Ovis aries: one gene and its partners. The protein of the gene in region 2 binds, or shares a complex with, the protein of the main gene of each other region. Links are inferred from orthologs where the notes say so. Each region holds a gene or a part of one and is shown on either strand. Other genes may lie near its edges.

Region 1 (10,481 bases), on a different chromosome or scaffold from region 2:
GGCAGCGTGATCCGCAACATGTCCCCTGGCCCCTGAGGCCCTCCCTGGAAGGGCTCGTCAAAGCGGGCAGAGCAGGGGGTGGGGTAGGATGGGTACAGCTCCCTGGGTCAGCCGCGGCTGGGGGAGCCTAGGCTGCCTCGTTCCCTGACCTTGGACGGTGACGCTGAAGAAGGCTGAGACGCCTTCTGTCCTGCACTCGAACTCGCCACTGTCCTGGACCTGGGCCTCGGGCAGGATCAGGCGGTGTTTGCGCCCGTCCATCTTCACCACCAGTGACTCGCTCTCCTCCACCTGCTGCCCATCCTTGTACCAGCTCGCTGGGAAGTCCACCCGGGAGAGCTCACAGGTCAGTACCACCCGATCGGAGGTCGTGAAGGTCAGTGACACCTTGTCCTGGGGGCTCAGGATGTGCACAGGACTCTCTGTGTGGGGAGAGGTGTGGTCATGGGTAGCGCCCTGGTTGTGCTCTACTTACCCAGTGAGCACCCCACTGCAGGGCATGTGCTGGGGGAGGGGGCTGGGCACATCAGGCCAGACGACTGTCGTGATGCATTTGTTGGTTTTAAAAATTCGTTTTGCGCTTACACACCAATTCTCAAGACCAGTGGTTTTAGTGTGCATAAGAATTCCCAGAGAGCCTACCGAAAATGCAGATTCCTAGGCTTTACCCCTCCCCCCGCCCCAGCATGCAAGGGTCAAAGAATCTGCATTATAAACTAGCCCTCAGCATGACTCTGACGTTGGTGAAAGTGTTAGTCACTCAGCTTTGTCTGATTCTTTGCAACCCCATGGACTTCTCCAGGAAAGAATGCTGGAGTGGGTTGCCATCCCCTTCTCCAAGGGAGCTTCCTGACTCTTCCTGACCTGATGGAATCCAGGTCTCCAGCATTGGGGGCAGATTCTTTACAGCCTAAATCACCAGGGAAGCCCAATGTTAGTGAAAGAAAGTGAAAGTATTAGTTGCTCAGTTGTGTGTCTGACTCTTTGAGACCCCCATGGACTGTAGCTTGCCAGGCTAATCTGTCCATGGAATTCTCCAGGCAAGAAGGAGTGGGTTGCCATTTCTTTCTCCAGGGGTTCTTCCCAACCTAGGGATTGAACCCAGGTCTCCTGCATTGCAGATAGATTCTTTACCGTCTGAACCTGGGTTGTATTTTAGAAATGCTGCTCTCTTTGTGGTTATTTCTTACTTTGTCCTCCTCCTGGGCTGCCGCTGGCTAACTGCCTCCAGGCCCTGTGCGTGGACACTGAGGAATTCTGTGACTGGCCTTACAAATTCCAGCAATGGTGCAATAGCAAATGCCAGTGCGTTCCCTGAACTTTCAGACTCCTGCCAACAACTGTCATCCTCAGGGAGGCCTCATTCCCTCTCCTCTCCTCTTTCCTCAGAGCGGCAGAGTGCGATACTGCAGCCAGACCACCTGCATTCATAATCCAGCACTAGCACTTATCAGTTTTGTGACTTCGGGCAAGTCACTGAACCTGTATCTGTTTCCCCATCTGTAAAATGGGATGACAAAAGAACACATCCTGTAGAGCTGTTGAGAAAGTGAAAGAAGTGAAAGTGAAGTCGCTCAGTCATGTCCAACTCTTTGCGACCCCATGGGCTGTAGTCCACCAGGCTCCTTTGTCCATGGGATTTTCCAGGCAAGAATACTGGAGTGGGTTGCCATTTCCTTCTCCAGGAGATCTTCCCGACCCAGGGATTGAACCCGGGTCTCCCTCATTGCAGGCAGACGCTTTACCATCTGAGCCACTAGGGAAGATTTAGGGCTGTTGAGAGGTCTGTGCTAATTAATATATGTAAAGCAATTAGGATTGTGCCTGGCACACAGGAAGTGACTCAGATAGTGTTAGCCATCACACAGTAGGGCAGGAAGTGGTCAGGGACTAGGGGCCACGGTCTGTGTCTTTAAGATGACAAACATGACAGAATTCTGCAAACCACAAAGTACCCCTAGAGAATTTGGATATGATGCTGGTGAAAATAACAAGGAGTCCCCTATATGGGCTTCTCTGGTGGCTCAGACGGTAAAGAAGCCGCCTGCAATGCAGGAGACCTGGGTTTGATCCCTGGGTTGGGAAGATCTCCTGGAGGAAAGCATGGCAGCCCACTCCAGTATTCTTGCCTGGAGAATCCCATGGACAGAGAAGCCTGGCAGGGTTGCAGAGTCGGACATGACTGAGCGACTAAGCACGGGTTGAAATTGGACTTCTGGATCCCTGAGTGCTCTATCTGAGCTCACCTAGGATGCTCCTGACTCCTGGCTCAGATGTGAGAAGCATGAACAGCGTGTGCCTCATTTTGCTAATGGGATTTCTACGTCTTGACCCTATCTGCCCACCGTGGTCCCCACCAGTACTAACCTTGGATGGTGAGCGCGGCTGAGTCCTGCACACCTGGGCAGCTGAAGCCGATCAGGGCCCCGCTGTCCTGATGCCGGACGGCCTGCAGGATGAGCCTGTGCTGCAGGCCACGCTGTTCCACCCGGTACCGCAGGGGCCCGGGCCCCACCTGGCCCTCTGGCTCGTTACTCTTGAGCTCCTCCCCGTTAAGGAACCAGGTGCCCTGGATGACGGTGGAGAGATCCAGGGAGAAGACGGCGTCTTCCCCATCATACACCTGTACCTCCTCCAGACCAGCCACCAGGCGAGCTGTGGGCACTGAGAGGGGGACAGAGCATGGCCATCAGAACCAGGCGGCTGGCAGAGGGCAGAGACTGGCAGCTAGATGGCATATAGCAAGAGAGAGCGGGGAGCCCAGGGGAAGGGAGGAAGGGTGATGGGGAGGGCACGACTTCAGGTATAGCCACTGATAGCCTGGGCTGACAGGACTGACTCACCGAGGTGAGCAGACCCGTGGAACACCACGTGGGGGCTGCGGCCGTGTTCGCTGACAGTGCAGACTCGGAAGCGGTAGTCGCCTTCGGTAGGCACGCAGTCCCCGGGCACCTCCACGGCCCCGGCTTTCTCAATGCTGAAGCACTGTACCCAGTCTTCCGAGCCCACCTCCTGCCGCTCCAGCCGGTAGATGAAGGCGGTCTCGGGGGTGGGGTCCGGAGGCTTCCAGGTGAGCAGGACCGTGTTCCTGTGGCCCTTGAACATTTCGGCCAACACTGGGGGTCCCGGGGGACTGTGCTTGATGCCTGAGACAGAGGCAGGGTTTGCATCTGAGCCCTGTTCCAGCCTCCCACAGCCCTGCAACCTAAAGTCAACTTTGCCAACCCAGACTCTGTCATCTGGTCACCCTTCTGTCCTGACCGTCCTGTCCAGCCCTTGAGGAGGCTGCCTAGAGGCTTTGGGGCCCTCACATTTGACTCTAAGCAGAGTGGTGGTCCGGGAGTTGCCCAGACTGAAGGTGACCTCCCCGGCATCTTCTCGGGTGACCCCTGGAAGGACCAGGGCGTGCATGTGGCCCGAGCTGCTCTGGCAGGTGGCCGGCAGGTCCTCTCCGTCGCGACTCCAGCGTCCCTCCACCCCAGCCTCGCGAGTCTCCACCAGCAGCACCGCGTTTTCGCCCTCAAAAACGTCGAGCTTCCGAGGCAGCCGCTTCAGGATGGGCCCTGAGACACGGGTGGGAGATTATGAGCCCGTGGACTGGGCACCGGCGGGCCTCTGTCTCGGTCTCCCCCAGCCCCCGCCACTGGCCAGCCGACCTTTGACCGTCACGTTGGCCACGGTGCGCACACGGCCGCGCATCTCGCACAGGTAGACGCCGTCGTCGTCCGCCTTCAGCCTGTGGATGATGAGGCGGCGGACCGTGCCCTCCTCGATCTGCTCGTACTTGCGGCAGGGCAGCAGCCGCTGGTCCTCGCGGAACCAGGCGGTGGGAATGCGCGAGTTGGGCACTTTACACTCCAGCACCGCAATTCCATGCTCCCGGCCCTCCACGTCCTGCAGCGGCCTGGAGAAGCGGAGGCGGGGCTCTGTGGAGAAGGGCGAGACCAGAGAAGGCTCTGGAGAGGGCCCCGACCGGGAGAAAGACCCTCCTCTGTCACCCACTGCCTAAACCCAGGGTAGCTCGGGCCATTTGCTCTTCTCCCAGAGCTAGTGTCGTTGTATACTCAGAGAAACCCTCAGAAGGGAGGTCAGATGACCCGAATTCTCGTTGAGCCTAACACATCACCTTGACCGAGGCCATTTTCATGATGCTGGGCCGCAGTTTATTTGTAAAGCAGAGAAAGAGATGGAGGGGCTTGGGCCATTATCAGGGATTTTCAAAATGTTTGGCGGGGACCCTCATGGGCACCACACACAATTCTGCAAGGGTTTGAGTTGAACTTCATTTTGAAAGTACTTCAACCACTTTTAAAACTGCATTTTACAAAAAGAAAGCATGATAACAGAAACGGCCAGTGGGGTCACTTGGACTGCTAGGGGAACATGTCTGTCTTATCACTTGGCTCTGGGAATCTTGGCCTTCATCCTGGGCTTTTCTGTCCTCAGGGGGTGAGAGTTCAGCTCTGCCTGGCCGGTTTGTGCACATCAAACTGTACCCAAGAGGCCACCACCCGTGGTACAGGTGCCACATGCTTGACTGCGTGCCAGGATGGACTCGGGAGATTTGCCAACTATTTTTCTCTGAGGGAAAGAGTTGGGTAATAACTAGTGAAGGTATGCCGTGAGTTGCAATGAACTCCTATTATGGGAAGCTTTAACTTCCAATGTGAATTTGGCCTGTTTTTCACCCCTGACTTTTCTAGTTATGAGCAATGTAAGCATTTATTAAACACCGCTGGGGGCTCAACTTTGAAATATAAATTTCCTCTCCTTCACCTTCTTCTTCTTGCAAACCTGGAAAGCAGTCTAATGACAGAATAGTCAAAAATTGGGGGGCATTTTTTTGCCCTCAAGTTTTCTCTCTTTGGTGTGAATCGGGAGTTTGTCAGGGTGACACCTGAAGCTACGATTTCCCCATGGGGGGCTCAAAAGCTAGACCCAGTTATGAATGGTTAAAATGTGTGTGCTTAATAAGACAGCTCCCTTGTTCTCATTGACTGACTTTATAAATATATGTTACAAATTTGGATTTAGAAATTTACACCCATAAAATGATCCTTTTATATAATACACTGGGGCCCCGATGGGGTTTCCATTGGGGAATGGGTGGTGAAATAACAAAGAGGCTGAGAAACATTGAACTACAAGAGTTGTAGGTCCCTCTGGGTCAATCATTCAATCCTTCCCTAAAGCCCTTTATGGAAGAGTGGTTTTCTGCCATCTGCCTCAGAATCATTTGGAGAGCTTGCTAAGAAGTTCCTGGAGCAGGTACCTTGGAGACGTACTAAACCCGAATCCCTGGGGGATGGGAGGGAGGGAGGTGGGAAATGGCATTTTAATATTCAGCCTCCCTTACTCCTCGCTGTCTTCTAGGCACTGAGTGGGGCTGGAGTAAGGCGGGTCAGGGAGGGCGCTGGAGGCCCCTCCCCAGGCCCTGGCCGCCCGGGGGCGCCGTGGTACCTTTCACGTGCAACTGCACGGCACTGAGCGTCTGGCCCGCCGAGTTGCGCGCGGCGCACACGTAGAGCCCGCGGTCCTTGGCCTGGCAGTACAGCACCTTGAGCACAAAGCCGCCGTCTCGGTCGCGGTACATGAGGCGGCGGCGATCGGGGAGCAGCGGGCGGCCCTCCCAGTGCCATTCGATCTCAGGCTCCGGCTTGCCCATCACGTAGCAGCGGAACTTTGCGTGCTTGCCCTCGTTCACCCAGAAGGTCTTGGGCGCGCACTTGAGCGGCTCCACCACGGGCGTGGGGGCCTCGTCGGGGTCCTCGGGCGGGCTCTCGGGGGGCTGCTGCACTTGCAGCAGCGCCCCGGCCCGCGCGTGGCCGTGCGCGTTGCGGGCGTGGCACACGTAGACGCCCGAGTCGGGCAGCCGAGCCGCCAGGATGCGAAGCGCCAGGCTCGCGCCCGCGCCCGCGCGGCCCGGCTCGAGGGAGAAGTGGCTGCTGTCCCACACTTCGTCCAGCGCCATCCCATCCTTCTCCCAGTAGAGCGTGGGCGCGGGGAGGCCCCCCACCTGGCACTCCAGCACCACCTCCGCCCCCCGCAGCACCCACTGGGACCGGGGCCCCGTCAGGAACACCGGGGCGCCCTCCCCGGCTCCGGGCGGCGGCAGCGGGCGCTCGGCGAGCTGGGGCTCAGGCTCGGGGGCCGGCGGCTCCAGCACGGTGACGGCGGCCGCCGCGTAGGCCTCTCCGGCCGAGTTGCGGGCGCGGCACACGTAGACCCCAGCGTCGGTGGGCAGCGCGCCGCTCAGCAGCAGGCAGTGCTCGGCGCCGTCCACCGGGAAGCTCAGGCGATCGGAGGCCGCCAGCTGCTGCCCGCCCTTCTCCCACACGACAATGGGCGGCGGCTCGCCCAGCACCACGCACTTGAGCTCGGCCTCCGCGCCACTTACCACCCGCACGGGCCGCGGGAAGCGCAGGAAGCACGGGGGGCTCCCCTGATCCCCCGAGCCCGCCTTCATCGCGGCGGCGCAAGGGCAGGTCGGGAGCGGCGGCGGGAGCCCGGGAGGCGGGGCGCGGCCGGGGACTAGGCGCCGGGACCCGCGGGGCTCTCTGCTGGCCGCCCGCTCCCGGCTCGCCTCCTTACCCTCCGCCGGGAGCTGCGGCTCTGAGGCGGCGGCAGCGGCGGCGATTCCCGGGGCTCAGGGGGGGAGTCCTTCCTGTTTGCCTCTCCAGCGAGGGGCCCCGCAGCCTCCCCTGCCTGCGGCCTGGCTTCCTGCTCCCGAGAGCCGGCCTTCCCAGCCCCCTCCCACAGCCAGGGCCTCTTTCCCCTCCTCCCTCCCACCTCCAGCCGCCAGGTCCCCAGCAGTCCGCCAAAATCGGGCCTGAGTGACAGAGAAGCCTGCAGCTGCCAATCCCAAAAATATTCTCTGATGACACAGCTGGAGGACAAGAGCCCAGACCGGCTCCTCCAGTCTAAGTTTAGAGCAGGCGGGACCCCTGCCCCCCGCCTTAACCCCAGTTCTAGCCCCCGCCCCGGCGCTTCCCCCGAGAGGACTGGCCCAGCAGCTGCTGGGTTGAAAAGGGCCCCAGAAGCTGCGAGGGGCTGGCTTGCTCTGTCTCCCTGACAAATAACGCTTTTTAGACCTGGCAGACCCCCAGTTAACAGGCTCCTGTCCCATCTGGTGTCACCTCTGTGCTGGGTGCTGGGTTGTGACTCTCTGATTCTGTGTGTGTGGAGGGCGAGGGGTTGTATGTGTGGTTTAGGTCACTTGGGGTGAAAGCCCTCTCCAGCCCCTCCCCCACATTCCTGGCGGGAGTGGGAGATAAGGCTCAGGGCCACAGACATCTGCGTCAGAGATAGGAGGTCTCAATGCCATGGGCAGGGGCAACTCGACTGCGGGGCGTGGGAAGGGCTGGGGAAGACTGGGGTGAGAAGGGTAGAAGAGGGCGGTGGTAGGATGGGGAGGGTGGAGTGGGGAGGCCCTGGGCAGACCCTGGCAGAAGGGGCACAGGGCAGGGTGTGGGTTCCCGGTGGGCAGGGCCAGGTGAGCTATGTGGCTTCAGCTGCTCCTCTTCCTGCTGGCCCCTCAGGGCGGGCGTGGCTGTCATGGGCCGGAGCTGGACCGGGAACTTGTCCTGGCCAAGGTGAGGGCCCTGTTCCTGGATGCCTTGGGGCCCCCGCCGGTGACTGGGGAAGGTGGAGATCCTGGAGTCAGGCGTCTGCCTCGAAGGCATGCCGTGGGGGGCTTCATGCGCAAGGGCTCTGAGCCCGAGGACCAAGATGTCTCCCAGGCCATCCTTTTTCCAGCTGCAGGTAATGAGGGTGGGGTATTGGCGCCTTGACTCTGACAAAGAGTGTGGTGTAGCCTGGATTCGGGAGCTAGGCAGGTCTGGGGTTGAATCCCAGACCTGACACTCAACTGACTTTGCAACAGTGGACCAGTTACTAAACCTTCCTGAGCCTCTTGTCTCCTCATCTGTGAAAAGCGCCATAATGCCTACCTTTCAGGATTGAGTGAGATGGTGTATCCCAGAGTGCCCGGTTCATAGGAGCCATTTGTGAGATAGTCATCTGGGAGGCCAGCGGTGTTTAGGGACAGAGATATCTGGGGTACCCCTTCCTGCCATCTTTCCTCCTCCCTTTGCTTTTTTGCTCCCTGCTCCAAACATTGTTTCTTTAGCCTCAGAAAGCTGAGACTTGAGAAGATATCAGGGATGCGGGAGAACAGTTAGTTGGGAAACTAACCTACCTTCTCTTGAATTCTCATCTCCCCAGTCAGTTGCACTCACTCAGTGAGTAAAGCCCTCCTCTGGCTGGACCTTTTTGTAACCTGGCTTACTTTTCTCTCAGAGAGGATGCTCTGGCTCCCTGTGCTTCAGGCCCCAGGCAGCACAGTGAGTGTGGCTTTAGGATCAGGCAGAATCCCAGCCTGGACACTTAGTTTAATGTCTTTTCATCTTTCTAACGTTCAGTTTGCCCTGGTGGCTCAGATGGTTAAACATTTGTCTGCAGTGTGGGAGACCCAGGTTTGATCCTTGGGTTGGGAAGATTCCCTGCAGAAGGGAATAGCAATCCACTCCAGTATTCTTGCCTGGAGAATCCCATGGACAGAAGAGCCTGGTAGATGGGGTCACAAAGAGTCAGACATGACTGAGCGACTAACACTTCTCATCTGCCAAATGGATCAGTTGTTGTGAGGTTTATAATGAGATGTTCCACATAACAGTACAGCCCCAATTGCTAGTTCTTTAATTTGTGCTGTTCGTGACTGTTTGATGCAGTTTATATACTTGTCAGGGTAAGGATGCCAACTGCATTTTCTTCGAAAGCACTGTCCTTGATTCTGAGCTGAATCCTTTCTCCTCCTCCCCACCCCCTTCCTCTTCCTTCTTGGTGTTAACCTTTTTAAAGTGAATTAAAGAATTTCTCATGCAGTATTTCTGACATGAGTAATATAACAAATGCCTGTGTACACAGTGTTCAAGGTACCATTTCATAGTATCAGATAAAAATTTAAATAGAAACAAACAATTCTAAGCAATGGTGAAGGGAGAGAGTGCACGGCATCTTACACATCACTGATGGGAATATTAATTGGTAAAACCACTTCAGAGAGAAGTTGGCAGTGGCTGGCATTTTTGAAGTCTTTTAATACTGAAGTAACACATGGGGATTTTCCTAAAGGAAATCAGTCCTGAATATTCATTGGAAGGACTGATGCTGAAGCTGAAACTCCAATACTTTGGCTACCTGATGTGAAGAGCTGACTCATTTGAAAAGACCCTGATGCTGGGAAAGACTGAAGGCGGGAGGAGAAGGGGATGACAGAGAATGAGATGGTTGGATGGCATCACTGATCCAATGGACATGAGTTTGAGTAAACTCCAGAAGTTGGTGATGGACAGGGAGGCCTGGTGTGCTGCAGTCCATGGGGTCGTAAACAGTCGGACACAAATGAGCGACTGAATGACTGAACTGAATGGAACTGAACACATGGGGGGCCTCTGTCAGTTCCCTGAAGATTGGGGAGGGTCCTGGCCTCTGGCAGAGAATTTCGTGTGGCACCTAGCAGGCTCATGAGTGGCAGCCAGATCCCTCCTGCTGAGGGAGAGGGGTTCCAGGTTTTGCCGGTGGGGGCTGCCCTTTCCCTTCCCTCTGCCCTCTGCAGGTGCCAGCTGTGGGGATGAGCCAGATGCTGGAGAGGCTGAGGAGGGCCTCTTCACGTATGTGTTCCGGCCATCCCAGCACACACGCAGCCGCCAGGTGACTTCGGCCCAGCTGTGGTTCCATACTGGACTGGACAGACAGGAGACCACTGCCACCAATAGCTCTGAGCCCCTGCTCGGCCTGCTGGTACTGACATCCAGGGGTCCCACGCCTGTGCCCATGTCGCTGGGCCAGGCACCCCCTCGCTGGGCTGTCCTGCACCTGGCCACCTCCGCCTTCCCTCTGCTGACCCATCCTGTCCTGGCGCTCCTGCTGCGTTGTCCTCTCTGTTCCTGCTCCGCCCGGCCCGAAGCCACCCCCTTCCTGGTGGCCCACACACGGGCCAAGCCGCCCAGTGGAGGGGAGAGGGCCCGGCGCTCCACGCCCCCGCTGCCCTGGCCTTGGTCTCCTGCTGCGCTGCGCCTGCTGCAGAGGCCTCCAGAGGAGCCCGCCGCCCATGCCGACTGCCACAGAGCCGCCCTCAATATCTCTTTCCAGGAGCTGGGCTGGGACCGGTGGATCGTGCACCCTCCTAGTTTCATCTTCTACTACTGTCACGGGGGGTGTGGGCTGCCCACCCTACAGGACCTGCCCCTGCCGGTCCCCGGGGTGCCCCCTACCCCTTTCCAGCCCCTCTCTCTGGTGCCAGGGGCCCAGGCCTGTTGCGCTGCCCTCCCGGGGACCATGAGGCCCCTACGTGTCCGCACCACCTCGGATGGAGGTTACTCTTTTAAGTATGAGATGGTGCCCAACCTTCTCACCCAGCACTGTGCTTGCATCTAAGGGAATCCCACTGATGCCCGAGCCCCCATGGTCACCAGCCTGGA
Region 2 (9,365 bases):
GAGGCTAGAGCCCTAAGTGAGGTGAGATGCTGAGCGTAAACTGAACCAGAATAAAGGTAGCTGAGCAACGAACGGAGACAGAGGTCTTTGTGGGAAAACCTGTGAAAGAGAAATTTAAAAGAGAAGGGGAAAACGAAGAGACTGTGGGTTAGTCCATCTCCAGCCTTACATGTATAGCTTCCTTAGCAAGGTGAGGCCCCAGATAGCTGGAATAGTTGGGGCGTTAGGTGTTAGTGGAGCACCATTACAACCTGTGTTGCCTGGAGCCTGCAGCGATCGGTCTAAAGGGTCACTTACCTAAGGAAGGAGGATGGGGCGATGTCTGCAGCAGTGGCAGATGCTGAGCTGAGTTGCAGTCCCCCCACCCCCACTTCCTTTCCCAGACACATCTCACATGTCATTCGAGGAGCTGTTGGAACTGCAGAGCCAAGTGGGGACTAAAGCCTACAAACAACTGGTAACAGGAAGCAGCACTAAGAAGCAGAGTTGTAGACCACCTGTCCAAAAAGCATGTGTTGCAGATAAGCACAGGTGAGGAGCAAGGCCTTTCCCGGGAGTTGGAGGGAAAGACCCCTACTTGAGTAGGTGTCTGCTTTCTTGGGTGGCAGGTGGGAGGCCTTTAATGAGACTGGCGTTCCCTTGACCTGTCCTTCACTTTTTCCATAGGCCTCTGGAAATGTCAGCCAAGGTCCGGGTGCCATTTTTGCGTCAGGTTGTCCCCATCAGTAAGAAGGTGAGGCGGAGGCAGTGAGCATTTTCTCAGGGAAAGGAGACAGAACGGTTCTCTTATATTCTCTGTTCTCTCCAAAGGTAGCCCGGGACCCCCGCTTTGATGATCTGTCAGGGGAGTATAATCCTGAGGTGTTCGATAAAACATATCAATTCCTAGATGACATCCGAGCCAGAGAGAAAGAGGTGAGTAGCATGCGGCTGGTTTGTGGGGATTCCAGGAGGGACTAGAGCACAGGTTAGAGAAGCAGAGGGGAGCAGGGCGAATCAGATTGCTAGTTGTGTGATCATTGGCAAAATACTTAACCTCTTTTCAGTTCAGTTTCCATATCACAAAAAGCTAATAGTTCCATTTCATAGTGTTACTGTGAGTTAACGTATGTGAACCTCTTAGAATGATGCTTGGCACAAAGTTTCAGGTAACATTTACAGAACGTTAACCATCATACTCATTTTCCAATATGGAGCTGGTGAAAAAGCAGCTGAAGAAGCGCCGTTCAGGGGAGGAGCATGAGAAACTACAGCACCTGCTTCAGCGAATGGTGAGAGGGTCGGAGTATGGGGCGGGAGGTGATTCACAGTCCCTGCCGTTCACCTGTCTCACTCCTCTCATCTCCGCTCCACAGGAGCAGCAAGAAATGGCCCAGAAGGAACGGAAGCGGCAGCAGGAGCTGCGCCTGGCCCTGAAGCAGGAGCGGCGGGCTCAGGCCCAGCAGGGTCATCGGCCATACTTCCTGAAGAAATGTGAGCGGGGCACAGCTACGGCCCACGAGACACAGGGGCAGAGACTGGGTAGCCATAGTGATGGATGCTGTGTTAGGGGTTCCTGGAGCTGCCTAAGGGAGGCATGAAGGCTGGATCCCATGGTAACTTAGAGGAAAGTAGAAACAGTAGTAATAGGAAGTCGTCGTTTGTAACCATTCTCATATCCCTAATGAGACTGTGGGCAGGGAGTGTCACTTATCTTTGTCATGCCCCCTCATATGTTGGGTTGGGCACAGAGAAGGAGCTCATGGTTGGTTGAATTGAGAAAGAGTGGAGTTGTGGAAGTCTGCTTTTACACACCAGTGAACCCCTGATGAGTCACATATCCCTGCGTAGTGGTTAAGAGTTACTGACCTGGGGCAAGGGGAGGCAGGGAGACTTCATCCTTTGCTTACTGATTTTCTTTCTCCTTGCCCTCTAGCTGAGCAGCGCCAGTTGGTCCTGGCTGAGAAGTTTAAGGAGCTGAAACGAAGCAAGAAGCTAGAGAGCTTCTTGAGTCGAAAGAGGCGCCGAAATGCAGGCAAGGACAGACGACATCTCCCTTTGAGCAAAGAGTAGTAAGCATCCGTGCTCAGCTCTGCTGCTGCCCCAGTGAGAAGTGCATCTGTGGGGACACCTTTGGGCTTGGCCTGTTCTTGTTCTTTCCCATTCAACGGTAAGGTCACAGCTGCCTTGGAACTCGCCTGGCCCAGAGATGACTCGAAGCCTCTTGGACTGCCTAAGAGCTGAAAAGGAAGAGCAGCTGAGCCTTCTGCCATGCTGCACTTTGTCTGCTTGGATCTGGGTCATTGTCCTCGTGTCCTCCTCCCATCCTTGCCTTAATGATTCTGATACAGAAGGAAAAGAACCTTGAGGCTGAAGGCCAGAGTCTGAGTGGCTCCCAGGACTGTGACTTCATGCAGGAACCAGTTCATAAACACTCCCGTGTCTCATCTTTTTATCCTGCTGCTTTTGTAGGTGGCCTAGAACTACTGTTTCAGGGGCCATATGTGGGTAGACAGTAAACCTAAACCTCCTACAAAGTGGGAGGTCAGATCAGAGGCCCTTCCTCCTTCAGGCCAACAGATGACACCATCATTCAAAGAGGGACCCAGTCCCACAACTCATCTTCTTAGGTTTGGTTTTAGATGCAAGGGGAGGTAGGAGGTGGGGGCAGAAAGTGTCCCTGGTGATAGGTAAGCGCAGCTGGTTCTCATTACTGTTTGGGTGGAGAATTCATACTGCCTGTGGACTGGAGTATCTTCACGCTACAGTTCAGTTTAAAGTGGTCTTTGGTTGGGAGTACCTCCAGGTATACCTGGCAGAAGCAAATGCATTCCTCTCTTTTTAAAAAATATCTACTTATTTTGGTTGTGCTGGGTCTTAGTTGCGGTTCACAGGGTCTTTGTTTCAGCGTGCAGATTCTTAGTTGCAATATGCAGAATCTAGTTTCCTGGTCAGGTTGAACTTGGGAGAGTGGAGTCTTAGCCCCTGGATCACCAGGGAATTCCCAAAATGCATTTCTCTCTTGAGGATTGTACTTTAAACCCAGGCTTCAAGGAATTCCTTCAGATAAAATTTCAAGGCATATGAGCTTATAGTGAAAACAAGCACAAAAGAAAAAAAAAAAAAAAAAGCAAGAGTCATTAGGAACAACAGGCAACAGAATCAGACCAGCAAAGTCTGAGATGTTGGAAATGTAAAATACAAAAATATAAAATGTCTTATTTATGTTTAAAGAAGAGCTATGACTGATGAAAAAATGTATCAGGACAAAATTGGTTTGATTAAAGTTTTTTGTTTAATGAAAAATACACTGACATTAGAAACTTCATGGTTTAGCAGCAGGTTAGGCACACCTAGAAAGGAAGATGAAATGGAAGTAGATGGGAAGAAGCTACACAGATGGAGCCCAGGGACAGAGAAATGGAAACTAGGGAAAAGACATCAAAGAAGTCGAAGGATAGAGTGAGGAGGTGTGACACAAATCAAGAGTTCCAGAAGAAGAGAGGGTGGTTTTCTATAGTTGATAATCTGTAAATCCTAAGAATCAGTAAGATCAGTTAATCACAGACAGTGGAGGCTGGGAACCTAGATAAATCATAGGATCTATAGGCCATGGGAAGGATTGACGTCTAAGCAGCAGCTGTAGGAACTTTTGGATGGTCCAGTGTGTAGGGACACAGCGACTCCAATTCCGGGGGCATGAGTTCCATCCCTGGAGTGGAACCTAGGATCCCCTGTGCTGCTGGGCAGGCAAAAAAAAATAGCAAAACGCAGCCTGCAAGGACGAGGTGGAGTTAGAGACTAAGACTCATTGCTTGATGCTTCCTGGTTGGGGGGAGATGATGTAGTTCTGAGGGAAGAAATGCATAAAACGTGCTTCTCCAGTGGTTGGTAGTTGAAGGCTGTAGCTACCAGGATGGTTGGCCTGGCCCAGAGAGAGTGAGGGAGCACTGTAGAGTCCCAATTGTCACGTGAATCAGTCCTAGTTTAATACCAAAACAGTGATTCTGGCTGATAAAAGCAGAAAAAGACTACTGAACTACTTGGCTCACAGAAACACTAAGAAGGCTGGAGAGAAGCTCCAAAAAGGAGTGAGTGAGAAAGTCAAAGCAGTGAGAAGCACTCCAGGTCCTAGTTCAGAGCCAGAGTCACTGTGAAGATGTCAGGATCACCGCCAAAGGTTCACTCCACTTCCCTCTGCTCTAGACCGACATGTTCCCAGTTGAGGCCTCTAGTCACCTGCCTGCAAGGGGGATGCTGGGAAAGCAAGTGTCTGGTGTTTCACATGGTGGGAGGTGAGCTCTACCTTCTTCCTAGGTTGGTGGTAGAGTGTTTCCAGGCATGAGAAGCGGGTTCAGGTGAAGACTGGTTGAAAACTGATAAATGTCCACCACAAGGCTGTATTGGCCCCCAAACTTTCAGACTGCTACTTTCCCCCTTAAGGAGGAGGCGGAGGAGATGTAGGAAAGCTCTGAGCTCCAGTTTGGGTAGGTTTGGTTGGTTTTGGTTTTTATTAACAGCTTTGTTGAGATACAATTCACGTAGCATATACTTTACCCATTTAAAGTTAACAGTTCAGTGATTTTTTAATACATTGACAGAATTGACCATCACAATTTTTTAACATTTTCAACACCCCCAAAAGAAATGCCATACCTTGTAGCAGTTACTCCTCAGTTTTTCCCAATCCCCCCAACTATAGGCAACCACTAAACCACATTCTGTCTCTGGACTGGCCGACTGGGGGACATGACTATAAACGGGATCATTATGTGGTCCTCGGTGTGCAAACCAGCTCTAGGGTTCTAAAGATCAGGGAAGCAAAAGTCACAGCCTGGGAATGTTTGCCCTGCAGAGACAGTCCCATGGGCAGGGAAGGCTACTGGTGTGCGGGAGTGCACAGGGGCAAGGAAGAGCCGTGGGAGCTGCAGTTCCTTCTAACCCAGATCCTAGAGCTTCCAGGTGGAACATGGTCCTGGGGGCCTGCAGTGGCCACAAGGGTCCTTTATCTCACCTTCCCTGTCAGCCTTAGCTCCAGAAGGCAGTGTCCAGTCAATTCCACAAACAAGGAAAATAGATCCCTGCTTGATGATCTGCTGAAGTTGCAAGCCATCCAGCTTGTGGCAAGATGGGCTTGACTCTCCAGCCTGCCAGGTGAAAGCTCTTCTAACCACATACCCTCCAAGAAGGCCCACCCCTGGAGTCCACTTAATTCCCCCAGCTGAGAGGAGGGTGCTCAGTCACTCACAGCCTGCCATCCTCACCCAAAGGACCCTGGCATGGCGTGATTCAGCCTCGGAGCTGAGGGCTCCTGTCTCCTTTCAGCCAGGAAAGTCCCCACCCTTGGCAGATCCCTGGCAGTTACCACACAGGCCAAGTAATCAAACTCCTGCATTTTATTCTGTGGAAAGCCCCGGCCCTACCTAACCCTGACCCTGTCTCCAGGGCTACCGGAAGGTAGAGAAGCTCTGGGTGCTTGTGCAGGAGGCGTAGGGCACGCCCCGGGAGCGGATCTGCAGGGTGTGGAAGGTGAGGGGTGGGTTGGGGCCCAAGGAGCCTGGGTTCAGGGACTCAGTGTGAGGCTCCATGACAGTCACGGGAACCGCATAAGACAGCCTCTGGGGCCGGTCATCCTGGCGTCTCACCGTGCCCTTGCCCAGCAGGTGCAGGATGCAGGAGAGAACGTCAGCACTGCCGCAGGTGGACCCCCTGCCAAGGCTGCTGACCAGGCCCCTGGGAGGACATGGGCCCTTCTGCCAAGCCTCCAGCACCTGGTGTGGTGGGCCGAAGGGGAAAGAGAGGTCAGGGACACCCAGCTTACCCCAACTCTAGCCCCCAGTCCAAGGACAGCGAGGCCCAACCTCACTTCTCACTCACCTACAGGGTCCACAGTGAGCCCAAGACTTCGCATGGGGATCCACCTCCTCCTGGAGACTGCCCCCCACCCCACAAGGCCCCCACCTCCTGGAGACTGCCCTCCAACTGGCAAAGCCCCCTCACCCACCACCCACCGCCACCTACCAGGCAGACAAGCTGGTCAATGTGCAGCCCCTCATCCCCATGGGCTTTGAGGATTCGGACGATGAGGCAGTTGAGAAGGTTCCGTCTCTTCTCCAAGTTCCGGCCCTCTTCATCCTCAGCTTTCAGGTATGTCTGAGCTGGGATGAGCCACACGTTGCCCCTCCGAGGCCTGGGTTCCTCGCTGCCGTCTCGAATCTTGAGCAACCCTGAAATAAGTGCTGGTCACTTGGCAGGGGTCCCCCGAGGACACTGGCCCCGGCTGAGGACACAGGCCCCAGTGCCCTAAGTACAGACCTGCTGGGGTGTCCTTTGTCTCATCAAGGTCCAGGGGGCCCCTTGACGAAGTCAGAGGCCCAATTGCCTGATTCAGCACATCTGGAGGGAGCCCCGAGTGCGCCAGCAGACTCTCCACAGAGACCGCCTTGGGAAGAAGAGGGAAGCATCAGGGCCTCCCAGGGTGGGGGGCAGGGAAGAGAGAGGGTGGAGAGAAGAAAGAGGATGGACAGGTTGCGAGAACAGGGGGGCGCGGGGGAGCTGGGCCACCTTCAGCTCGTTGAAATGCAGCAGCAGCCACATCTGCACGGTGGACACGTGCAGTGTCTGGTCCCCGAACTGCAGCTCCGCCCGGCCCAGCCATGTCCACTGCAGTCGCCTTTGCGGGGCCTGCTCCAGGGCAGGGTAGCTCTGACCTGAGGAGGGTCAGGGAGGTGGCAGGAGTCGGGGGGCTGGCGAGGACGTGCCATTGCTGGAGTTTTGTCCTCACTAACCTCTGCAGAGCCTGGGGTCCAGTGTGTCTGGACACTGGCTCTTGGTCTGAGCTTCCAGAGCTTGGCCTTCCTTGAGTCTGCCTCCTGGGTCAGCCTCAGGTATCTGGGAGCCCACCCCATGCCAGGCAGCCCGTGATCAGTGCCTCCGAGGGGTTCTCCATTTTTTTAAGGGAGACAAAGTCACGAAGTGAGAAAGGACTGGGGCTCTCTTCAAACTGGAAACACTGTCTTGAAGCTGGTAGAGAAGCTCCCTGAGGGCAAGGTCTCAGTATCACCCACCTCCTTTTCACTGCCTAGGATCAGCCTCCAGTGGGGAGCTGAGGTTATGATGACTGACCAGGAGCCAGACACCCACCACCACCTGTGGACCTCAGGTGCTTTCTGCCTCCATTCTCCCCACCATAATGGGAGTCCCAGGTCATTATTTGAAGAATAGAAACAGCAACAGTCCCGGGATCTGGTGCCGTTTCACCCCACCCCTACTCCAAACCTAAGTTCCAGTCTTTTCTTCTCAAATCTACAGGCTGCCAGGCCCAGGGGCCACCGCCAAGCCCAGGTTCTTTCCCAGCATCCTATCCTCTTCCCAGGTCCCCAGTTCCCTCAGCCCAGCTGCTCACGCTTGTTGTAGAAGTTGGAGTATCGGTTCAAGGTGCCCCTCAGGTAGGCAGGCAGGCAGGTTCTGGGGTTGAGCGTGTGGCAGATGGAGGCGGTGGGCCAGCAGCGTGGAGACAGGACGAGCACAGACACTTCTGGCATTGCCCCTTCATAGTAGAGATCCTCGCTCTCGTCCTCCTCCTCCTCCTCCCCTGCCACGCCGGCTGCTGCTGCTGCCGCCACAGCCCCAGCTTCCAGCTCAGCTTCCTCCCCGGTCCCTCTCTCATGGCCCCTGCCACTGGCGCTGGCGTCACGGCTCACCTGAAGATGGAACACAGGGTGCCCCTAAGCCAGCCGGCTCCTCAGGTCTGTCCCGAGCCTCTCTCTGCCTTCCTCTCTTCTTGCTGGTTTAGTTCCCTCCCCCGCTTCCACCTGTATCTTCTTCTCTGTGTCCTCCAGCTTCAGGAGTTCCTGATCAAGCCGCTGGAGCTGGTATACATGGAACTGGCGTTGCAGCTCCTCTGAAGTGCTCAGGCTCCGCAAGATCTCCTGGGGGAGGCGACTGGGGAAGCAGGGGCCGATCTGCTCCAGCACAGCCCCCTCCAGCCAACTCGAGCCCACGCCCAGGAGACGGTCCGCCATGTAGTGCCTGCAGCATGCACAGCCCAGGCTGAGTCTTGGTGAGGCTGCCTGGCAGGGCCTCCCACTCCAAGACTCCAGCCTACCCAGACCCCAGCCCCCAGACCCCGAGGGCTTGCCTTGCCCATCATCCTGCCTCCTCCCACCTCCCACTTCCTCGGTCCACACTCACTGGTAGTAATGCTCGAAAGTGGTGGCTATCTCCAGACCAGAGAAGATGAGGACGGTTTCCAGGCATCGTTGCAGTTGGGCCAGCATCTCCATTCCCCGGGCCCCACCGATCCGGCTGCCCTGGATCCGCTGGTCGATGTGTCGGGCAAACTGCTCGCTCACCTGGGCAGTGGGGAGAGCACAGGAAAACTGTGAAGGAGGTGAGATCGGGTGTGTTCAGGGTGGTATGATCGTAGTCAGAAACTGAAGGAGAGAATGAAGCTGGTGAGTGGGAGCACAGGGAGGAGGAGCGTCTGAGGAAGGAAATATGAATGGCCAGCAGCTTTATCAACTGGTCAACAATTATAAACAACAATTTATAAAATTCCTAAAATCATTAACAACTGTGTACATTAACAATACTGGGACTTCCCTGATGGTCCAATGGTTAAGACTCTATGCTACTGATGCTGGGGGCCCGGGTTTGTCCCGCGTGCCACAACTAAGACATGACACCCCCAAATAAATTCAGTAAAATAACATTTAAAAAAAATACTAACAATGATAAACATGATTTTCACATTTAGCATGTCTAAAATCCAACAATGATAATTTAACACAAGGAGACAAGCACACAAGGCCACTGAGATAAAGTGAGTCACATAAATTTTCTGATTTGTGAACTTGGAGGGAAGGGTCTTCATCTATCTTCAGCTCTTATCACAGTGCCTGACACATGTTAAAAGTGTTAGTTGGTCAGTCATGTCCCAAGTCTTTGTGACCCCATGGACTGTAGCCCACTAGGTTCCCCCTGTCCGTGGGATTCGGCAGGCAGTAATACTGGAGTGGGTTAAGCACTTGGAATAATAGGAACGGTGGAGGAAATTACAGTACATCCATTTGATGGGCTCTATGCAAAAATTTGAGGACAAATAGCAACATGAAAATGACTTTTAATGTAAGGGTCAAAAAAAACAGGATAAAGCATTTAGCTACTTGTGGGTAAAACTAAGTGAAATCAAGCATGCAAGTAGAAGAAGGTATGCAAAGATATATTAGAATGGCACAAAGCAGGTCATTTTTTACTTTTATCTTTGTGTGTGTGTGTGTGTGTGAGATCTTAGTTCCTTGCCCAGGGATTGAATTTGGGCCCACAGCAGTGAAAGTACAGGGTCCTAACCACTGGGCCACCAGGGAATTCCCTTTTTTTTTTTT
Region 3 (10,283 bases), on a different chromosome or scaffold from region 2:
ACATGTGCCGCTAGGGCCGCTCCTAGGGGGCGAGGCTGCAGCTGCCGGTGGGGCCCCAGCTCGGCGCTCCCTCCGCTCTCCCCGCCGTGGTGGCAGCTCTGGCCGAACCATGCATTCCCGGCTCTTCTCTGCGCGCAGCCCACCGCTCGCTCTCCAGTCTTTTCAGTCCCTCCTTTGCAGGTGGCGCGAGCGATCCTGACGCAAGAAGAATGTAACTGTAATGAGCGCCCGTGGAGGCAGCAGCCCCAGGTGACGGGGCGGTCTCAGGGCCCACCCAGCGGGCTTGGCTTTGGGTCTCCTGGCTCAGCACAGGGGCGAGTGTGTCCGCGGACACCGGGCACCAGGGGAGGCCCGCAGTGCCGGGCGTTCTTTCTTGTTCTCGGTGGAGCCCTGATCCCTTCCAGACTCATGCTTCTGGCCATCGTCCGTGAGCCTCTGTTCCTCATTCCAATCTGATGGGGGCTGGCCTGTGTGATGGAGGTTCCAGCCGGGCAAGAGGAGTGTCAGGATGCAGCTGAGCCAGGAAGCTAAACCTCCTGCTCGGGGTGGGGAGGAGAGGATTCCAGGAAGAGAAGCCTGAGAGGCAGGGGGGGTGTGCTCCTGGGGGAGGGGAGAAGAGGTGGGGGAGGGGAAGGGAGGGGTGGAGACCAGCCACAGGGGCAGGGGAGGAGGGGAAGGAGAGGGAAAGTCCCTGCCCATCTGAAGTGCAGCTGGTACAAACGCACCAGCTTCTCAGGGCCAAGGCCTCCTGCTGGTGTCTACAGGCTGAATCTGACACTCGACCTGCAGTGTTTTCAAACAATGGGACTTCTTAGCAACACTTTCAATTTGGGACAATTCACATACGGTGTGTTGGCTTTTCTCTGCAGTACCAAGCAGTGCACCTCCCCCAGGATGTCCCACCAACTCTCCCCTACCCACCTCCCGTGGGGTGACAGTCCCCTGGGCGCTGGAGGGAAGGGGTGAGGCGGGCGGTTGCCTGGTGGAAGCGCACTCAGGAGGCAGAACATCCCGTGCAAAAGCCCCAAGCCACTGTGGAGATTGGGGTTTATTCATGTGTAACTCTTGAAGCCTCGGGTGCCAGGATTCCCTGCTGGGCATAGAGGGACCATGTCTCCAAATAGGCCACCTGCCTTCACAGGGCTGCCCGTCTAATTACATTCCACGTGACTGGAGTTGTGAACTCTGCCGGGGTCCCTGGGGTCGGAGCGTGCAGACATGCCGGGAGCGTGTCCCCTTCCCGGTCCTGGGATCCCTAGGAGGAAGCTGTCCCGCCCCTCGGTCTGCTCAAACGGAGAGAGTGGCATCCTGAGATTCTCGGGAGTGTCATCTGGTCCTGAAAGGGCCCGGAGGGAGAAGCCAGACACCGATGAGCTTTTCCCACTGTTAAGTTCTCTAGGGTCCGGAGCCCACGAGGCCCCGCCTTCCTCATTGCAGGCTCCGCCCCACACAGCACGCCCCGCCCCGCTGAGAACTAGGCCTGCGGAGGAAGCGTCCACCTAGGCAAGCGCTGTCGTGGCCTGTTCATCCACTAGGAGGCGCCCTAAGATCAAGAGCTTAAATCATGACTACCATTACCTTTCTTGGGGTCCACCGCTTTGAAGTTCCGCCTGTTTTCTAAATGCCAGGCAGCCCAAAACTGACTTTCCAGTAAAGCTGCAAAGTAAGGTCCTGAGACCAACTGCATCCGCATCTCCTGGGAACTTCTTAGCAATGCATATTCTCAGGCCCACCCCAGACCTACAGATCTACTGAATGACGTCTAAGAAGTCCAGGCCAGGACTGCAGCCTGTCGGGAGGACCTAGCTGGGCTTTAGCCTTACCTCTAAGAATTTCCCTTTATCCGGCCTCTATCGAGGCCGGGGCATGGTTATTTGCTGTCTGTTTTCCCTCGCGTTAGGGGGACACAGACAATACAGAGAGAAGTCCCCCAGCTCCCAGGGTGCGTAGCAACCCGATTATAAGCTCACTGTAGCAACTTGATACATTGCTCACTACCGCACCACAATCCAGTTCTTTGGCTTGTTCCTAGTGCACTGATTTTTTCCCAATGTATCCAGCGACCAAGCTGCCCCAGATTCTTGGGCCTCGTAGCCTGCTCTAGCAACTCACAGCTCTGATGTGAAGGGCCCCTGAACCCACACGTTGGACATGTTCCCCAAATTATTCTTCTGTATGTGGTAACCAAGAAGGGATGAAGCATGTAAACTGCAGGACCTGGACCCACCAAGTCTGCAGAACCCAGGTGGGAGTGGCAGGAAAAGTGACTTTAACACGGGTAAGCATCACGGACGGTGGGAGTAAAGGGGACACAGGCTGTGACAAAATCACCCCGGAGCATTTTTCAGTTGCCAAGCCAGAGCCAAGAAATAAGCTGGTAAATATTTTTATTTGCATGTTGACCTGCGCCCTCTTTTCCAGTTCCAGGAGGCAGGGAGTGAAAGTGTATGGGCAAAAGGGGGAAGAAGAAGGGGAAGAGGAAGGGATTTCTCCTTTGCCTCGCTCCCTTCTCCAGGATGAGCACCTAGAGTTGCATTTGAGGAAGTTAAAATCATAGGGGATGCAACTCCATTGTATGGGTTTCTTTCATTACATTCCTTGGGTTACTATAAAGAGTCTGTATTAAAAAAAAAAAAATCAATGCAAAAAAAAAAGTCAATGCATAGGGAATTCCCCGGCAGTCCAGTGGTTAGGACTCAGCACTTTCACCACTGGGGAGACCTGGGTTCAATCCCTGGTCAGGAAACTAAGATCCCACAAGCCATGTGGGAAAAAAGAGAAAGAAAGATAGAAAAAAAAAAATCAATGCATAGAAAATACAGTTTTAATAAGAAAGGGACATTCGGTAGAGACGTGAGAGGCACTGCCAGGCCCTCACTCTACCTCCATTTTCAAGTGTGGAGAGTCACACATGCCGTGAGGGACCCACACTGCGGCAGGTGCTGAGGTCCTCCGTGGCCCCCCTGCCCTCACCTCACAGCTGGTCCTCTTGCTCTCCACGCTCTGCCTCCGCTCTGGCCTCGGCCCGCAGGACCCTGAGGCTCCTGGCCTCGCCTGCCCTGGGCACTCTCTTGGGTAGCGTGGGCAACCGGGGAGTGTGCCAGAAGGCTCTCCGGCGCTTCCGAAACCATGAAAAGCGTCCGGGGGTCTGGAACCTCACTGTCTTGACTGGTTTCCGGGTCTGAGCTCCTGCAGTGGCCCCTGTGGCCCTTCCGGCAGCTGAGGAGTCAGCCTCCGGAACAGCCGGGGTCTCTGCCCTCTGATTACAGGCAGCTTCTGCCCTCTGGACCGATCCAGCTTCTTCCCCATCAGGTACAGCCTCTGCTCCCTGGACAACCGGGGCTTCTGCCCTCGGATCCTCTGCAGCTTCTGCCCTCGGGTCAGCCGGGGCCTCTGCCCCCTGGACAGGTATGGCCTCTGCCCCCTGGACAGCCAGGGCATCTGCTCTCTGATTATCCACAGCCTCTGCCTCCTGGACAGCTATGGGCCCTGCTCTCTGATTAGCTATAGCCTCCCCCCTCTGATTAGCTATAGCCTCCCCCCTCTGATTAGCTATAGCCTCCCCCCTCTGATTACCTATAGCCTCCACCCTCTGATTATCTACAGCCTCCCCCCTCTGATTAGCTATAGCCTCCCCCCTCTGATTAGCTACAGCCTCCCCCCTCTGATTACCTATAGCCTCCACCCTCTGATTATCTACAGCCTCCCCCCTCTGATTATCTGTGGCCTCCCCCCTCTGATTATTTGCAGCCTCCACCCTCTGCTCATTTGCAGCCTCTCCCCCCTGAGCTCTGGAAGCTGTTTCCTCTCTCCTGCGACGTCTGAAGGAAGCCCAGTTGATCTGGGGCCTCCATCGCCTTGGGGGGGTCTCAGCCACCCGCCCATCTCGTGCATTTCCCAGGTTACACCCCAGGCTGGCGCTGCCTGGCACCGATGCACTGTCCCTCTCCACCCCGGTAGAGGCCTGCCTGGCCTCGCCCACCCCGGGGCTGGACTTCGGTGTCCAGCCCTTCACCCTCCGCTTCAGCTTCCCCCAGGACACCTGGCTGACACACTCCCGCCACCTGTCCGCTTTGGACTGCTGGGGCCCTGGGCTGTCGTCAAACATGGGTACGGGCAGGTTCACCCGGCGGCGGGGAGGAGGCACGCTGGGTTTCTTCTCCCCTCGCCGGAGGAAGGCCTCCACCAGTTCCTCATCATCCTCGCTCTCCAGGTCGCTCCCGAGGAACTTGCTGCCCAGGTAACTGACGGGCATTTTGCGCACCTTCCTGCCACGGCCGGCGCCTTTGCGGCCCTTGTCAGCCTTGTTCCTGGAGGTCTCGAAATCGCTGAACTCGCTGTCACTGGCGTTACTGCTGTCATAAGTGCCCACGACCAGCCGGGGGGGTGGGGTCACCATCTGCTGGACTCTCCTCCTCACTCGGGGCTCCTTAGACTTTCTAGGGGGCTGGGGTGGATGCGGGGTGCTCTTCTCGATGATGCGGGCCACGTCCTCCAGGGTGCGGCCCTCTTCTTCCAGAAACTGGATCAGCCGTTCCCGAAATTCTGCCTCCTTGGTGGCCGGCTTGGAAATGACCCTCCAGACGCCCCCGGCCAGCCGGACCTCGCGGGGGATGAGCAGATAGTCCACATCTTCCCCAATCTGCAGCATGCCCACGGTGGAGTCCTCCTCCCGGCGGAACACCTTGCCGATTTTCTTAAAGGTCCCCACGGGCTTCAAAGCTTCGACGAGGACGTCCAGATCCACGTCTTTGCAGACGTCCGGGACGCTCCAAAGGATGAGGCAGTCGGGGGACGGGAGGAAGCCCCAGGGGAACCAGCCCCCCACATGGCTTTTCTCGAGCGTCTTTAAGATCTCCAGGGTGAAATCTGGGCTGGGGGCAATGAGCCCAAACTGCTCGTAGCCTCGAGTCTTGGGCGGGGAGAGGGGGGTAGGTTGCTCTCCCCGCAGCGCTGCCCTGAGAGTCTCACTTCCCACTTTCCTCTGCAACAAGTCCGGTCTCGATCCGCTCCCCGCGAAGGATTAGTGGGAATCAATTTCCAGGATGCTTACGTGAGCCGGGGTGAGGTCAGTTCTGAGGCTCCCAGCCCACTGCAAGCTGCAGACGCGGTGTCCCGGCTCCAACTGCGGGCGCACGGGCTGTCCGGTGGTTCTTCCTGTGCCACAGATGCGCCTGGAACTTGAGAGAGGACTTCGCAGACAAAGGCGGCTCAGCCTTGGCTATTCAATATGGCCGAGGCGCTCGGAGGCCGCGGCGCAGCTCCCCAGGAGGGTCTCCCACTCCTAGGCAGGCTTCCACCTCAGGCCAGGCTGACCTTGCCGCGCCTCCCGCCTCCCGGCCGAGGAGCGCGCGCGCGGGCAGGAAGTTCCTCCTCGCCGGCCCCCAGGATGGGGCCCACCTTCCCCCTTCTCATCTTACACTCCGGGACTCGGGAAGACTGACAGGGGGGCTGTCCACTCCCTTCGGGACGCCCTCATTCCCCTCCCCCACAGGGGTGTGGCCGCGCCCCGGGCCTCTCTGAGGCCCCGTCTTCCTAGCCGATCGCCCCGCGCCGAAGCGAAGCCCACGTCAGCAGCTTTCCCCGGGAAAGGCGGCCGTTCCCAAACCTGCCATCCCAAACGTGCGGGTTCCAGCCAAGCCCGGAAGGTGGGCGTGCAAATGGGGCAGTCCCTCTGAAACCCGTTGGCACGGTGTATTACTATTTTAAAATCACGTGACTTTTGGTATCCGCACTTCCTACCTATAGACCCAAACAGGTGGGTAGAGAACTTGGTACCAGCTCCAGGATGGAGCTTGGCACACAGTAGGTGCTCTAGAATACTTCTGAGTGAATGAATGAATGGTTGGATGGGATCACAGGCTTCAGTGGACAAGAGACTGAGCAAACTCCCGGAGATAGTGAAGGACACGGAAGCCTGGCTGTGCTGCAGTCCATGGGGTTGCAAAGAGTTGGACACAACTTAGCCACCAAACAACAGCAACCTGATCATCAGTAGAAACTCGGTTCTTTCAGTAAAATATTAGGCAGCTATGAAAAAAAAAGTAACTGAGGATAGTCACCTTTTATGGAGCACTGCTGCTGCTGCTGCTGCTGCTGCTAAGTCGCTTCAGTCGTGTCCGACTGTGCTACCCCATAGACGGCAGCCCACCAGGACTAGCTATGTATTAATACTAGACATCACTCTATTAATACAAATTAACTCATGAAATCTTCACCAAAGCATTATGAGACAGGTAATACGATGCTCATTCCCATTTTACAGCTGAGGGGAAAAAATCACTTGCTCAAGGTCACATGAGCAAGAAGAATGGGAACCTGGATTTGAATCTCAAATAATCTGACGTGTGTGTGTGTGTGGGGGGGGGGGCATGTTCACATGCATAGGCCAAATGGCATAGACAGGAGCATGTTCTCTTTGGCTGTATGACTGAGTGAGTGAAAGTCACTCAGTCGTGTCTGACTCTAGTCCCTGGAATTCTCCAGGCCAGAATACTGGAGTGGGTAGCCATTCCCTTATGCAGGGGATCTTCCAAACCAGGGATTGAACCCAGGTGTCCCATATTGCAGGAGGATTTTCTACCAGCTTAGCCACAAAGGAAGCCCAAGAATATGGGAGTGGGTAGCCTACCCCTTCTTCTGAGAATCTTCCCGACCCAGGAATTGAATCAGAGTCTCCTGCCTTGCAGGCGGATTCTTTACCAATTGAGCTATCAGGGAAGCTTGGGACGTATTAATGTTGCCAACAGTGGCTGTGTATGGGGAGGGGGACGGGGGACCCCCCAGAAGTGGCAGGCATATGTACTTTTCACTCTATATTCTGTTAGATGGTGTAGATTTTTTTTTAGCAATCGAAAATGTTCATTAAAATAAGCTAAATTAGGACTTCCCTGGTGGCTCACTGGTTAAGACTCTGTGCTTCCAATGGCAGGGGCACAAGTTCAATCCTTGGTTGGGGAAGTTCCACGTACCCTGCAGGTCAGCCAAAATAAATAGTTACACTTTTGAGGATTTCAAGATTTTTTTTTTTAGTTAAATTAAATAGAAGGTCCTCAGATGTGGCCACAGACCTGTGGGGTCAGAATCCCTGGGACTTGGGGCCCAGGATTTGCAAAGCTTCCCAGGTAACTTTGGAGGCCCACAGGTGCCTCCTCACAGTTCATTCAACAAACAGGCTCATTGCCACCTCAGGGCCTTTGCACAAGCTGTTCCCCAAGTCCAAAGAGTTGTGTTTCCCCCTCCTCTTGGCAATCTCCCTCTGCTCAAAGGTCATCATTTTATTGAAGTCATACTGCACTGCCCTCCCCATCAAACTATTGGGTGACCTCTACCCTCTCCAGGGCCTTCTAGCCCAAGAATCCTTAACCCGTTCTGTGCCATGGACCCTTTTCAAGATACTGTTTCAGTACGTAGGATTGCATCCATAAGACTGCAAAGGAGAATCGTTATAACGAAATAGAATTGTTAAAGAAAAATCCCAGCAACAACAAAATCTGTAAACTAACCACGTTAACATAAGATAAAAATAAACACGTGTAATTTTGTTTAAGTCACCACGTGTGATTTTATTTCACTCTTGAAGGAAACACGCAGATGTTTAGGGAAAGTGGGAAGGGAGCGAAAAGAATGGGAAGGGAAAGAGGGAAAGAAGGAAGAAAAATGCTTGAGGGCGGGGGAATGGGGGGACGGTTAAGGTCTCAGCGAGGCCTTTGCACAGTTATTGGCTCATTCCGGTTGTTTTTGTTTTTGCAGAGTCGGGTCGTTAGGCTTCGCTGGGTTTTCTCCTCCTCCTCCTTACAAACTCCATCCCAGTCGCCGCCGGGCTCAGCCCCCGCCGGGCCTCCCTTTTGCACAATTTCTCGCCTAGCCGCCCAGCGGTCTCCATGGCAACGAGGTGCGCTCCTCCACTCGGGTCGGCTCTAAGGAGGTGGGCGGAGGGTGGGGCGGGGCAGCCCCACTTCTCAGCTTATTACTTCCCTAAACTTTATTCCCCAAATCGGCTTCCCAGAGAAGCTGTTTTCTGGAAGCTGGAAGCTAAAAATCTCTAGGACACCTGTGGTTGAGAAAAGCTGGTTTAAGAATCTAACTCTGAGAAGCCAAGCCTTCCACGTGAGAATGACCTCGCAGATTAGGCGTCGGATTTTGTAACCGGTAAAAATCGTGTGTGTGTGGTGGGGGAAGGGGTGGAGGATTATCCTAGAAATAAAACCCTCAAATGTTCAACATTCTTACAAAAATTGCCAACCCCTTAGCCGTCCCGCTGCTGGGTGTTTTAGATTGCCTTCATCTCTGGCAGGCGAGATTCTTCAGCCGCCCCAGAAAAAAATGATAATTATAGCTCCCACTTGTATTCTTGTTTAAAAGAAATGAAAAAAATCCAAAGAGGATGGAGGAAGAAAACAAAACGTGGTTCAGATTTCTCTACCCAGCTGTACTTGGTTGCCACTTTAAAAAAACGATAATAAAAGTGACACATTTAAGAAAACGCTGAAGTTACAGAAAGGTGTAAAATGAAGAATGGCTCCCTCTCCCAGCCCCAAGCCTGCAGTCTCTCTCCACAAAGTAACCACAGTTAAAGCCTCTGTACTTTTCCAGAAAACAAAACAAAACAAAACTTCTTGCATGGGTAGAAGTTATTTACCCCATAAGGATTTTTAATATCCTGAATTATTTTCATCGCATCACTTACTTCCTCCTGGTATCTTCTTGTTCATTTATTTATTGTCTCACCCTATGAAAATACTGGGGATTCCCTGGTAACTCAGCTGGTAAAGAATCGACCTGCAATGCAGGAGACCCCAGTTTGATTCCTCAGTCGGGAAGATCCGCTGGAGAAGGGATAGGCTACCTACTCCAATTTTCTTGGGCCTCCCTGGTGACTCACATGGTAAAGAATCCATGTGCAAAGCAGGAGACCCAGGTTTGTTCCCTGGGTTGGGAAGATCCCCTGGAGAAGAAAATGGCTACCCACTCCAGTATTCTGAGAGAATTCTCAGTATTCTGGAGAATTCCATGGACTGTATGGACTGTGGGGGTCACAAAGAGTCGGACACGACTGAGTGGCTTTCACTTTCACATGAGAATACTAGCCCCATGAGAGCAGGGATATTTGTCTGCTTTGTTCAGTGCTGAATTCACAGAATCTAGAACAGTGCTGATGGGAGCTCAAAATATTTGTTGAATGAATGAGTGAGGGGATTGGGCTGGACCTAGTGCTATAAAACTTGCTTTTTTCACTTAATAGCATGTCCTTAATAGCATGTCTTGAGCTCTTTCCATATCAAGCAGATCAATCTCAATTTTTCTCAACAGCTTTCCCCTTTGTGTAAGATAATTCATTTTTTTCGAGCACCTATTTTGCCCCTGACCCTGTGTATTTTCTCTTTGAATCCTGCAACCCCTCCAGAACAGGTATTATTCCCATTTTCCAGAGGAGGAAAACTGAGGCTAAAGGCAGTCACACAGCCAAGAAGCGGCAGAGCTTTGAATTACTCAGGTTTCTGAGGTTCTAGCCCTGTACTATTTTATTATTATTATTTGCCACACTGGGTCTTCATTGCAGCATGCAGGCTTTCCTCTCTTGTTGTGGCCCCCAGGCTTCTTGGTGCGTGGGCTCTCCAGTTGTGGAGGGCAGGCTTAGTTGCCTGGCAGCATGTGGGATCTTAGTTCCCTGACCAGGGATCCAACCAGCGTCACCTGCATTGCAAGGTGGATTCTTAACCACTACACCACCAGGCAAGTCCCCTGCCCTACACTCTTAAGCTCCTTTATTTGTCCTGTTGCCTGTGGAGGGTTGGGGGTGGGGAGCAAGGTTGACAGGCAGTCCCTGAAGACTTCTCTCCCAGGTGACATATGTAACCTTGGCACAGTCACTCAGTTCAGTTCAGTCGCTCAGTCGTGTCTGACTCTTTGCGACCCCATGGACTGCAGCATGCCAGGCTTCCCTGTCCATCACTAACTCCCAGAGCTTGCTCAGACTCATGTCTATTGAGTCAGTGATGCCATTCAGCCATCTCATCCTCTGTCATCCCCTTCTCTTCCTGCCTTCAATCTTTCCCAGCATCAGGGTCTTTTCCAATGAGTCAGTTCTTTGCATCAGGTGGCCAAAGTATTGTAGTAGTCTCAGCTTCAGCATCAGTCCTTCCAATGAATAGTCAGGACTGATTTCCTTTAGGATGGACTGGTTTGATCTCCTTGCTGTCCAAGGGACTCTTGCCACAGTCCCCATGGGAACACAGTCCAAGGGACTCTTGGCACCGTCACTAGATTTGTCCTAAACGTAC

The links.
Region 1: CUL7 (region 2) and OBSL1 share a complex: the UniProt entries of both Homo sapiens proteins name them as parts of the 3M complex. The link is inferred for Ovis aries from reciprocal best matches to the Homo sapiens genes CUL7 and OBSL1.
Region 3: CUL7 (region 2) and CCDC8 share a complex: the UniProt entries of both Homo sapiens proteins name them as parts of the 3M complex. The link is inferred for Ovis aries from reciprocal best matches to the Homo sapiens genes CUL7 and CCDC8.

The regions. Positions count from the first base shown.
Region 1 is NC_056055.1:221,487,194-221,497,674, forward strand, and holds the start of OBSL1 (obscurin-like protein 1), read right to left. Parts: upstream 6,745-10,481; 5' UTR 6,467-6,744; coding exon 5,461-6,466; intron 3,927-5,460; coding exon 3,657-3,926; intron 3,564-3,656; coding exon 3,312-3,563; intron 3,147-3,311; coding exon 2,844-3,146; intron 2,665-2,843; coding exon 2,368-2,664; intron 423-2,367; coding exon 150-422; intron 1-149. UniProt on the Homo sapiens protein: Core component of the 3M complex, a complex required to regulate microtubule dynamics and genome integrity. It is unclear how the 3M complex regulates microtubules, it could act by controlling the level of a microtubule stabilizer.
Region 2 is NC_056073.1:16,658,041-16,667,405, forward strand, and holds the end of CUL7 (cullin-7), read right to left. Parts: intron 8,334-9,365; coding exon 8,173-8,333; intron 8,011-8,172; coding exon 7,794-8,010; intron 7,683-7,793; coding exon 7,385-7,682; intron 6,690-7,384; coding exon 6,544-6,689; intron 6,422-6,543; coding exon 6,295-6,421; intron 6,207-6,294; coding exon 6,001-6,206; intron 5,751-6,000; coding exon 5,427-5,750; 3' UTR 4,468-5,426; downstream 1-4,467. Other genes in the region: KLHDC3 (kelch domain-containing protein 3), read left to right, coding at 384-531, 667-733, 811-915, 1,197-1,271, 1,356-1,473, 1,916-2,052. UniProt on the Homo sapiens protein: Core component of the 3M and Cul7-RING(FBXW8) complexes, which mediate the ubiquitination and subsequent proteasomal degradation of target proteins. Core component of the 3M complex, a complex required to regulate microtubule dynamics and genome integrity.
Region 3 is NC_056067.1:53,465,095-53,475,377, reverse strand, and holds CCDC8 (coiled-coil domain-containing protein 8), read right to left. Parts: upstream 5,339-10,283; 5' UTR 4,652-5,338; coding exon 2,975-4,651; 3' UTR 2,371-2,974; downstream 1-2,370. UniProt on the Homo sapiens protein: Core component of the 3M complex, a complex required to regulate microtubule dynamics and genome integrity. It is unclear how the 3M complex regulates microtubules, it could act by controlling the level of a microtubule stabilizer.